Linked DNA regions of Rhinolophus ferrumequinum. The protein of the gene in region 3 interacts with the protein of the main gene of each other region in a pairwise test. Links are inferred from orthologs where the notes say so. Each region holds a gene or a part of one and is shown on either strand. Other genes may lie near its edges. The genes, in order: PTPN9, FMO3 and CREB3.

Region 1 (3,746 bases), on a different chromosome or scaffold from region 3:
TGTCGTTTAGTTTACATATTTTAAACAAATCTTAACAGTTAAGAGTACTCTTGTGATATTAAAGTAAAATATGAAATCCATCAGGCATTACAATAATTGGAAGGAACTGTGCTGCTTGGAACTATGCTGCTTTTGTGTTTCAACATTTTGAAATGCCTGCAGAGAACTTGGCATTATATAGGAAAAGGTATGGTTATAAAAAACCACATTAACTTCCTGATCTTAATATACAAATATTTTGTTCCCATCCAGTCCTTGTTAATGCCCAACACACCCATTCAATGTAATAGATTTTTACTAAACACACTTGCATATTTACACTATATACAGGGTGAAGACAACATTAGCAATACTATCAATGCTTCAATATTTGCTCTCCTTGGTGTTTTTTTTTTCATTTGCAACCTAATGCCATTTTCATAGTGGAACACTAATGCCATTAAGTCTTAAGAAACACAGAAATTTTAAATCTGACTAACTCCAGAAAAAGAAGTGAGAGTGTTGCCCCTTTAAAAATCAACCTAACACATTACACCCTAGTACTAAAGCATTTCTCTAATTCTGGCAGGATGGACTCCTTGGCCACCTGCTTGCATTAGGCCCTCACTAGCATTTTATTAACACCCAACTGCAGTTACCAGAATGCTTGTACAGAGGAGCAGAATTCTTTTCCCCCAGGCTGATTTTATCTCAAAACATCAAAAGGTAAGACTGCGGTCTGAGGCCAAATATGAAAACATGTCATCTCCACAAATGAGGAGAAAAGTCAAGGGCTTTTTAACAATCACGTCTTAAAGAAACCCATTAACCAATATTAGTTTGTAAAACCAGACTGTCTCCACACTAGAGACTGTGCTACCAAATGTGGTTCTTGGGAACAAGGGCTGGAGAGGTCGAAATGGGTGACCAGCACGGTTCATCTTTTCTTATTTCAGATTTTTATTAAAACATGGAATCAGATTATGGCTCGTTTTGAAAACAGCTAAGGCCGGATATGGGCAGTGCCAAAGAGACAGCGAAAAGCCTTTACGGTTCCCATCTCAGCCGCAGGCTTTCCTATCTTTCTCAGAAGGAGTGGTCCACGTCTCCCCCGCAGGAATGTGCGAGAGTGAAAGTTGCAAGGGCCCCGATTTTTCCCTTACCCAAGCCCCCAAAATGACACCGCAAACCACTTCCTTCTGGAACTGAAGGTCATTAAGAGTTAAGGCACAATGGAGCTCAATGTAGACTTCGGAAAGATGTAGACAGTGGGGTGAGATGGGGGTAGGGAAGTGTGAGTGGGGGATGTGCCCAGACCAAGAGAGAGGAATGGGGCAGTCAAGGCCAGGGGCTTGGGGAGCGTGAGAAGGCCTGGATCTTTCAGAATGTGTCCAAAGAGGCCTGCCACGGCCCTGGGATAAGCCCGAGGGGCTCGTCTGAAAATCTAGGGCATCTACTACCCAGTGCCTACCATGACTGTCCTCGGGAGGGGCGGTGGTCCCCGCAGAAGCCCATCCCCCAAAGTGAGCTTTTCTTGCCCTTAGAAAAAGAAAAAAGAAACAAAACCCGCACGGAAAGCAGCAAAATATGTATAGTGTGCAAAGACCGAAGGAAGGAGCTGTTCTGCAAACGTCGGGGGCGGGGGCGTTTGTGGATAGAAAGGAAGGCCCCCAGGTCCAGGAACTTTAATCACCTCCGGAGTGGGGGGAGGGGCGATGCGAGGCCTGAGCCTCCGGGGCCGAAGGGGACAGAGGAGGTCCGGAGCAGAAGCGGCGTCCGGTGGCGCCCCGGTTTCAGGGGATGACGGCCAGAGGCGCGGCCGCCAGGGGGAGGCCACCGCGGGCCCCAGGCGCCGAGAGCGCGCGGCGGGCAGGGACCCACGTAGGCCCCAGGGGTCCGACACGCCCACCGCCGCGGCCCCGCTTACCTGCTCCTCCTCCGGGGTCAGCTGCGGCGCCATGTCGGCCTGGGGTGCGGTCGCGGGCTCCATCCCGCCGCCGCCGCCCGCGAACAGGACCCGCCCGGAGCGCCGGGGCCCCGCTGTGGCCTTGGCTCCCTCGTGCCCGCGCTCAGCAGCCCGGGGCCGGCTCGCGCATGGTGGGCCGGCGGGCCCGCGCCCGCGGCGCCCACGAACGCCGCCGCTGGGTCCTCACGAGAAGGCGCTCTGAGCTGTCGCTGTCTTCTGGGCGGAAATCCTTGTTTATTTTCTCTGCTCCTTTCCTCACACTCCCCCTCCTCTCCCGGAAAAGAAAAAGTGCAGGCGGGGAGCTGAGGGAATCGGGAGGAAAAAAGGAAATATGAAATCAAGAACTTTCCAGGCCCAGAGCGAAGGCTGCCGGCCTCCTCGGCGGCGCTCCCGCTCCTCCGGCTGTGGGCCCGGCGACCCGCGCGGCCGCCTCTCAGCGCCGTTCCTCAAAAGCCTCCGAGCCAGAAGGAGGGAGAGGGAGGGGACAGGGCCGCGCACCCCCCTCCCGGCTCACGGCCAACCCTGCAGCCGCCCGAGCCCCCCGCGGCTCCATTGAGAAACTGAGCGTCTCATTCACAAATGGGCGGGCGGCGAGCAGGGCCGCTGAGCGCGGACGCAGTCCGGGAGGGGGCGACAGAGAGGAGCCCGGGGGCGGTGGGTGGGAAGAGGAGCTCGAGGAAGGGGAAGCGAAGAGGTGGGGGGAGAGGAGTTCGGAGGGGGTAGGAGCTCGAGCAGGGGGAGGCCGAGGAGAGGCGGGATGGGGGAGAGGAGCTCGAGGAGGGGGAAGCGAGGCGGTGGGGGGAGGAGTTCGGAGGGAGCGTAGGGGAGAGGAGCTGGAGGAGGGGGAAGCCTGGCGGTGGGGGGAGAGGAGTTAGGAGGGGGGAGGAGCTCGAGCAGGGAGAGGCCGAGGAGAGGCGGGATGGGGGAAAGGAGCTCGAGGAGGCAAAGCTGAGGAAGTTCGAGGAGTGGGGGGGGGGGGCAGGCGAGGGACTTTGACGACTCGGGACTGTGGGGAGCGAGAAAAAGGTGAGTGTGAGGTTTACAAGGAAGGTTAAGTTCCACGGAGGAGGAAGAGAATGCAGCTGCCGACGGGCACCTCGGGGTTGCTGTCCGCTCCCACCTGCAAGTGAGGAACCCACAGTCCTCATCTATTTCCCTGTCACTTGCTGACTGAAAGCGCCTGGAAAGGTTGCCTGGGAGGTCCAGGACGCTCATCTCGGCCCTACCGCTCGCTCGTTCTTGCTGTATCCTGTCATTTATTGCCAATATAGGTAATTTTAGTCCCTCGGAAAAAAACAGCATCTGATTTAGAAACCTCATACAGAAATCACGCAGCTTTTGCAAGCCTTTGATTTTCACTCAGGCGCGTAGCAAAAACCTTGGGGCTCTTACAGAGTAGTCTTGGAGTCAGTTCGGGAGTCACAAGGAAGGCAGGACTGGGTCTGCTATGTTTTTACATCAGTCCAGACCAAAAATATTCTTAAAGGGACCCAACGAACAAGCAAGTGCCACAGCTAGTCAGTCCCAAGGCCTGAAAGCCTGGAGAAATTGAGACCCAAGGGAGGGGTCTTCAGACAACTTGAAGATACTCTCCCAGGACTTTCGAAGCCACCTCTGACCTCACCTCATTTCTGCATCATTGCAACAGGAACTTCAGGGTGCCCTTGGTTCGAGAAGAAAATCCTGGTACTCAGGTAGGTTATTTTATCCTTTACACCAGGCTGACTGGGTTGAGTTCATAACCTCCCAGAGCAGTTCCAGTTTCAGGATTGCGACCAGACGCTTCTCTGGAAGACCGGCT
Region 2 (3,746 bases), on a different chromosome or scaffold from region 3:
CCGCAGTCCACGGGACCCTGACCTATCGTACACAACTTGTTGAGCAGCCTCTTATTACAGCCGATTAAAAGCTTCAGAGGTCAGGAGGTCCTAGTAAAGTATAGGAAACTCAAAACATGCTATTCAGCCTACTAGTGTTTAAACCTAATTTGGTTTCATTGTACAGGAGAAACACACAGTGAATGGTTCAAAGTTATCAGATTTCTCTCCCGGAACACCTTCTGCCTAACAGGACTTGCCAGATGGAAGCTTATATAACACATTTGCCGAAATCCCTCTCTGATCACACATTGTACCAAGCAAGTTTTCTTCAAAGAGAAGGAAGGGGTGGGTGGGTGGAGGGGCCGAAGTTTTGACTATTTGCATGTGTTTACATCCTCACAGGATATAATCCCACTTCTATACAGTGACCTTACCGAAAGAGATAACCCCTCTTTTGAATAACCCAGAGTCTGACTTTGTACCTTATCGATATGTTACCTGTTGCTTCATTAGATAGGCTTTTTGGTCCGGCTGCACTGGTTAACTTACAGACCCCTGGAGAGTCCACATTCATAGCCTTTTCCGTGCTGTTTATGCATTGCTTGCTGGTCACCCCAACCTAGAAACCTCTCTCACATGGTCCTGGCATACTATCGGTGACTGCTTGTCTACAGGGCACCCTCCACACATTACAGTGGGGACGGCACTCCCCGCAGTTGTGTCACACGGTGCTCCTCTACTTTCCGTGTCTGAGGACGTCCTTCAACTCTCAGCTGAGTGCCATCCCTGCGGGAAGTCTCTCCTGACCTGCTAAGAATTCAGTGGTCCACCCTTTTCTAACTCACAAGGCTCGTGTTCATTAAGTTGACTGTCAACCAAGGGCTATCTTGTTATAAAGTACTGTGATCTCTTATTGGAAACTCTTAGGGCCAGGTATATTTTGGAATTTGTCGATCTGGGGAAATGTTTTTCCATAGCACTCCTAGTGAGATTTTGGGTAGCACCTTACAAGCAAATGTAATAAAATTTTTGCAGTGGAGCACGGAGTGGGCCAGAGGAAGGCTATACGTAGCCTTGTGGCTTCCACTCATGTTATCTGACCATATGACTTCAGGACAGGTTTTGCCATCCAATGGGCTTTGCCCCCTTTCCATCAAAGGACTGTAGACCTATAGGATGGTTTGCTTCACCAAAGGGAGTAGAACCCATGCATGTAGCGTGATTATGTCACATATTAGCCTAGTACCTAGTACACAACTTGGGCAAAATAGATGCTCAAGCAGCATTTAATTGCTGCTAATGAGATAACAGAGAACCATTTCATCGTTTAGGCTAAATGGCCACATCTCCCTGAGCAAATGTAAATAAAATTGAATTCGTAAACAACCACCACCACCACCACCACTCTCTTGATTATTCCCTAAGGAAAAGTAAAAATTACTGATCTTATGTCTTATGTAATGCTTTCAGGCTTATAGGCACCCCCAATTGTTTTGCGAAATGCTCTTGAGATAAATACAGATGTGTTCTGAGTTAGCACCAACATACTCTGTTAGAGCAACCTGTTGTAGGTTGGGCTATAACCGAGCCCAGGAGAGAATATAGTTGCAAGATGAATGATGTGGATGTAATGTCTTCAGACCAAACATGTATCATCTATAGCAATAATAATGGTTGGAAAATTCACGACAGAAAGGCTAGAAGTTTCCCCAAACCCAGCTTTGAAATTTAAAAATTGTGTTTATATTGAATATTTCCTGATGATATTAGTTCTACAACAATGAGCCTGAATGGCAGAGACAATCGTTTTTTCCTCTGGATTTGGAGCTCACAGAGTATATGACAACCACACACAATGCACACCATCATCATTTATAATAACTTACAATGTCTGCCCAATAGACATGAGTTCATTATAGAATCATAGCCCCTTAGAATTGGAAGGCACAGTAAAGGTAACTTCACTTCCAATCTCTGCATTTGACAAATGAGCATTTGAGGTCCAGAAAGGAAAAAGTGACTTGCCTAAAATCTATCTACTTAGAAAACCTGAGAATCGAGATTAGAACTTGGGACTTCTGACCCCAGTCAAGGTTTTTCTTTTTCTTTCCCCCCATGTTCCAGGGATTTAAGAGCAATAGACATAGAATCCCTATTTTGGCTAATTACTGACATTAGAGCCTGGAGATCTGTCAGGCTGGTGACATTATTTAATAAGCTGGAGATGTCCTTTTCAGGATAAGCCCTGATGGCGTGCGCAAATGGTTGTTTTGAAGGGTTGGACATTAGTGGGATGGGAGAGAGAAGATTTTACTTTCCAGATCTGGAAATTTTAGGACTTGCCTCTAAGTCTGAATTAGAAATGATCAGATTGCACTGGCTATAGAGCCCCTGTCCCTTCTGTTGGTGTCCCAGTGATGTGCCACTCACCGAAAATTTCCACAGGCCTCCAACATCATCGCCCCTTTCAAAGCAGGTGGGCTCCAGCCCCTCTTCCAGACAGCACCGGATGGCAGCCAAGCCACTGATCCCAGCTCCGACGATGGCCACTGTCTTCCCCATGGTCTCCTGTAGGAAGGTCTGGAGAGGTTCTTTAGAAGAGTGTCCCTGGACACTTAGGATTCTGCAATGGAGTTGCCGGCCTGGGCCTGGGCAGACCTGTCACACTATATATAGCCTCCAGGGCAGGCCTGGCCCCGCCCTCGGCCAGGCCCCTGGGAGCGGTGACCTGGCCTGGGGATGAGCGCTGTGCCCCTGGGAGTGCGCAGGGAGGCGCGGCGAGTGCGGGGTGGGGCGGCGGGGCTGTGAGCGGACGCTGGGGTCACGGAGACTCCTGTGTCCCGACCCGGCTTTCTGTCCCGGAGCCTGTGGGCCCCGCCGGGCTCTCCAATCACCTGTCTGGACTGTAACCGACATCGGACCCCTGCCGCCTGTCTTCCCCCAAAGGCTGGAACTGAGCCTGGGGAGAGGGAACCCTGAGGGACCGAAGCTCGGAGTCTCGCTCTCCGGGATGCTGTGGTGGCTGAGGGCGGAGGATGGAGAACACATCGGCCGGCGCTGCCCAGCGCCTTGCGGGGCTTGGGCCGCGCCGGCCTCCAGGGCGCTGAATGTCAGTCGCTTCCCAGAGCTGACGGTGAGAGCCCGCGCACCGGCGCCCGCAAATTCCCAAACGCTGGCAGCTCTCCTGTAGAGCTTCCCGGGTTTGAATTCGGCTGCCCCTGGGAGCCTCAGAGGTTTCTGAGCTGTAAACCTGAGTATTTACCCCGCAGGATGATTGTGAGAACTAGAAATCACAGGCACAGGCCTCATATGGACCTGGCACACAGTGGTAGACGGTAATTACTCAGACACTTGTTCAAGACAATAAGGCCGACATCATTCTGGGGTACGACCCTGTTTCCCTGGAAATGAGACCTACCCCGAAAATAAGCCCCAGTTAAGAGCATCAGCCAGACGGCCACGTTTAGTTTTGAGGATGTTCTAGAAGAAGATGATGTGACTGTCATCGAATAAAGGTAGATTGTTGTACATGAAAAAAATAAGACATCCCCTGAAAAGAAACTCTCATGGGGCAAAAATTAACAGAAGACCCGCTCTTATTTTCAGGGAAACACGGTCCCCCAGTGGGGTTTCGCGGTAGCAGAGAGAGATTGACTACAAGGGCGAGGGGAGACTTATCGCCAAGGAGTAGGATGGGGGTCGGTGGATAGAAAATTACTCAAAGGACACGCGCAGGTGACCAGTGCGTTCTGGCTAAGCCTGCT
Region 3 (3,746 bases):
ATTTCTCTAGGTCAAAGAAGCCCCTGCAACTACATAGGAAAAAGAGACTTCACCACCGCAAAACAAGGACATCCACCTACTGCCAATGTTGTAACTTTTACCTGCTTGAAGTCACTACCCTAACCTCAACCACCACCTCTAAAACTGCCCCTAATTTCTAATATTAACCTTGACCCTAATTTGTTTCCTGTTTCCCAATACCGGTTTTGACATTCATCCCTTCCTGGGAAGATACCTGTATCCAATCCCTGATCCCTAATATTGATAGAATTTTTACCTTTAGCACTAGATCCTCTGACCTTAACCGTAAATGTTGACTCCTAAACCTATAGCTCATTTGTCAGTTGATTCCTGACCCATCCCTTCACTGTTTGACCCTAATACGCCACGGTTCTCTAATCCCTGAAACTGAACTTCTAACCTAATTCCTGTTGTTGACCCTGAACTCTAATTTTGACTTACTCTGGCCATCCTAGAAAACAAAATAATGACCTTAATCCAAACTTTATCTATATAAAAGGGACCTGGCTCAGGCTAATAACTATAAATTTCAACCCTGGCTCTATAACTCCTAAAGCTAACCTGATTCCTAAATCTAATTTCACCTAATCCCAAACTCACCCAACGCTTTCCTAGCAGCTAACCTCAAAAGCCGATCCCCACCCTGCACCTCACTACCACCCTACTTCTCATCCTCCCCAAAACCTATCCCAGACAGAAGACTGCTCCCAGGAAGGGCCTGGCTCCCGCAAAACGGCCTACCTAACTCCGAGCCCAACCCCGGATGCACTGGACGCTGACCCCTCCAACAAGACCCGAAACAGGAGACGCAGGAGAGTTAGGGGCCCCGCCTGCCCACCCGCCTCCCCGGCCTGGCCTCGAGGCCCCACCTTGAGACTCCCCCTTGGCCCAGTCCAGCCTACCTGAGCTGCCCGGCTTGTGCCCCGCCCGCTGGCCCGCTAGCCCGTCTGTTCTCCCGATGGCTCTCGGGCTCCGGCCTCGCCCTCCCTTCGGCACTCTCGGCCACTTCCGTCCCTGGAACGTCCCCCACCCGCGGGCGGCGCCCTGGGCCCGCGCTCTATGGTTGCGGGGGACGGCAGGAAGCTGCTCTGGCCCCAGCTCTCGATGCTCGGGAGCGCGCTGAAGACCGTCTGGCCCTCCCCCGCAGGAAGCAAGGGTGCGGCGCAGTCCCGGGGAAACGGCCGAACTGCACCGCAGTTCCTTTGGAGTCTGATCCTTCCTTATTCTAGCTTGGGGCAAAGGCGGCGCCGGCTCCCCAGAATGCCCGCCCTCAGGGTGTGAGGAAGCAGCAGGGACCTCCCCTGTATTTGCATAGCTCCCGGGACGTGGCGCGGCACCTAAGCCACTTCCGCGTTTAGAGAGAACTTTAAGTCCCGGGATGCTTTGGGGTAGGCGTGTCACTTCCGTTGTGTTGGAAGCTGCGGAGAACCGAGTCTCGGTGGCGGGTCTTGTTTGAGAGCTACGACTAGTAGCTACGGGGAAAGCCGGCCGAATAGGGACTAGCGGATAGGTGGGGCTGACTCACAATCGGTGAGGGTCGTGCATGGGGCCGGGTGGAAGGGTGAACTCCTGCGCTTGTGCCCATTCTTTCTGTAGGTGGCCCATATGGATTTGGCGTTGGACCCGGGTGACCAGGACCTGTTGGCCTTACTACTAGAGGAAAATGGAGATTTGGGGGTGGCGTCCGATGCGTCCTTCGAGGCTCCACTGGACTGGGAGTTGCCGATTTCCGAGGTGGGCGGGGGCTCTGAGCCCGGGAGGTGGGGGGCGGGGTGTTCTTGAGGATGGTGGTAGGTCAAGGCCTGTTAATTTGAATCCTGTTCAGGCACTGAGCGATTGGGATGTAGAGGATTTCCTGAGCTGCCTGACGAGTTTCCCAGCATCGTCGAACGTTCTCAACAGCTCGAATCCCTGTCTGGTCCATCATGACCACACCTATTCTCTCCCACAGGAACATGTTTCTATAGATCTAGGTGAGTCTGAAATAAGTGAATTTTGAGGGGAGGAAGGGACTCATGAACCTGGCTATTCACTTTCCCTTTTGCAGATAGTGGGAGTTCTGGAAAAGAGGAGGCCCAGATGACACCCCTACATGTGGAGGAGCCCGCAGAACAGGTACTTTGTTTACTGGAGGATTATTCCCACATTGCACATTATTCCCACATTGCAGACAGGATTCCTCATTCCTCTCTGACATGCTCCCTTGTGACTCTGCCTCCCACCTTTCTGTAACCCCAGGAGATTGTTAGGCTGATACTGACAGATGAGGAAAAGAGGCTATTGGAGCAGGAGGGGCTTACTCTGCCAGAGACATTTCCTCTCACTAAGGTAAGACTCCCAGTGGTGGATCAAAGACTGGAGGGGTGAGGATTGAGTCCCAAGTAGTCCAATTCTGTTAATTTTTCATCAGTAACTTACTAAAGGACGAAAGTGAGAAATTAAGCAAATTTGCTGCTAATAGGAAGCCGGGGGATGTAGTTATATACTGGATGCAGGGGCAGATCCTGGTTTTGTGGGGCTTACACAAATTTTGGTATTCTTTGTAGGAAAGAATTCAAAATTACCAGTGCATTAGTTAGTATAGGGACTTGGAAAGGACTGTGCAAGCAAGGGGCTCTGACATTTAGATTTCACTAGGTGGATTACCATATCTATCTAGCTGAAAGGTCGAATTAAGTTTTAGAGTTCAAGACTGGACTTAGTAGTATAACAAGAATAAACGTAAAATCTTGAGTTTTAAGTTTCAAGAAGCAATGGGTGGCAGTCTCGCAAGCATAATATTGTGATACTGTGATGAGATCAATGTTCATTGACAGAAAGGTTAAAAGAGTTTCTTAAAAGTACAAGATGAGTCAGCAGTGTGATATGGTCACTAAGAAAGTGAATGGGGTTTGGAGGCTGTATCAATAGAGGTATTTCCTCTAGAAGGGCAGTGACTATCTTGCTCTCCTTTATACTGGTCAGAGCATATCCTAGTGCCAAGTTTTGAGTCCAGATCTTTGACAGATAGTAAAAGGAGTAAAAGGACACAGTCCATCCTGAGGAGGTAAGATGATGAGTTAAATATTTTATCCCACCCCCCAAAAAAGTTGCCCAGATTTATCTTTGCTTGGAGGAAATGTTGAGTGTCTTAAAATAGCTGAAGACCATTTGTTCTGTATAGCTCCCGAGATTAGGTATGAGGTAAGTCCAATGGATAGAATTATCGAAGCAGATACTGGCTCAGGATAGGGAAGATTAATTTTAATTAATAAAATTGTTAAAAATAGTCTGGCTTATGAGGGTGTTAACACCTAGTCCTCAGAGGCATTTAGCCAGAAGCCAAGTGCCTACTGGTCAAGGAAGCTGTAGAAGGGATTCGTGCATTGGCAAGATTACTCAGTTGCCTTCCAACTCTTTGGTCCAGTGTTCTGTGATGATACCCCTTTTCCCTGTATTATCTCAGATGGAGGAACAAGTTCTGAAACGAGTGCGGAGGAAGATTCGCAATAAAAAGTCTGCTCAAGAGAGCCGCAGGAAGAAGAAGGTGTACCTGGGGAGTTTAGAGAGCAGGTATAAACAGGAGAGGGGCTCTGGGGTGGGTGGAACAGAAGTAGCTGGAAGTGATATGTTTTTGAAGGGAGGATACAGGCCATATCCCCACATCCCTGTTATTCCCCCAGGGTCTTGAAATACACAGCCCAGAATTTGGAGCTACAGAACAAAGTACAGCTCCTGGAAGAACA

What was found.
Region 1: the proteins of CREB3 (region 3) and PTPN9 interact in a two-hybrid assay, tested with the Homo sapiens proteins (2 studies listed by BioGRID and IntAct). The two-hybrid records come from large-scale screens. The link is inferred for Rhinolophus ferrumequinum from reciprocal best matches to the Homo sapiens genes CREB3 and PTPN9.
Region 2: the proteins of CREB3 (region 3) and FMO3 interact in binary tests that used the Homo sapiens proteins (3 or more experiments, as listed by UniProt). The two-hybrid records come from large-scale screens. The link is inferred for Rhinolophus ferrumequinum from reciprocal best matches to the Homo sapiens genes CREB3 and FMO3.

The regions. Positions count from the first base shown.
Region 1 is NC_046289.1:99,925,863-99,929,608, forward strand, and holds the start of PTPN9 (tyrosine-protein phosphatase non-receptor type 9), read right to left. Parts: upstream 2,567-3,746; 5' UTR 1,970-2,566; coding exon 1,907-1,969; intron 1-1,906. UniProt on the Homo sapiens protein: Protein-tyrosine phosphatase that could participate in the transfer of hydrophobic ligands or in functions of the Golgi apparatus.
Region 2 is NC_046305.1:7,196,815-7,200,560, reverse strand, and holds the start of FMO3 (flavin-containing monooxygenase 3), read right to left. Parts: upstream 2,614-3,746; 5' UTR 2,545-2,613; coding exon 2,413-2,544; intron 1-2,412. UniProt on the Homo sapiens protein: Essential hepatic enzyme that catalyzes the oxygenation of a wide variety of nitrogen- and sulfur-containing compounds including drugs as well as dietary compounds.
Region 3 is NC_046295.1:51,914,484-51,918,229, forward strand, and holds the start of CREB3 (cyclic AMP-responsive element-binding protein 3), read left to right. Parts: upstream 1-1,412; 5' UTR 1,413-1,531; intron 1,532-1,617; 5' UTR 1,618-1,626; coding exon 1,627-1,755; intron 1,756-1,846; coding exon 1,847-1,994; intron 1,995-2,068; coding exon 2,069-2,136; intron 2,137-2,259; coding exon 2,260-2,349; intron 2,350-3,466; coding exon 3,467-3,573; intron 3,574-3,683; coding exon 3,684-3,746. UniProt on the Homo sapiens protein: Endoplasmic reticulum (ER)-bound sequence-specific transcription factor that directly binds DNA and activates transcription. Plays a role in the unfolded protein response (UPR), promoting cell survival versus ER stress-induced apoptotic cell death.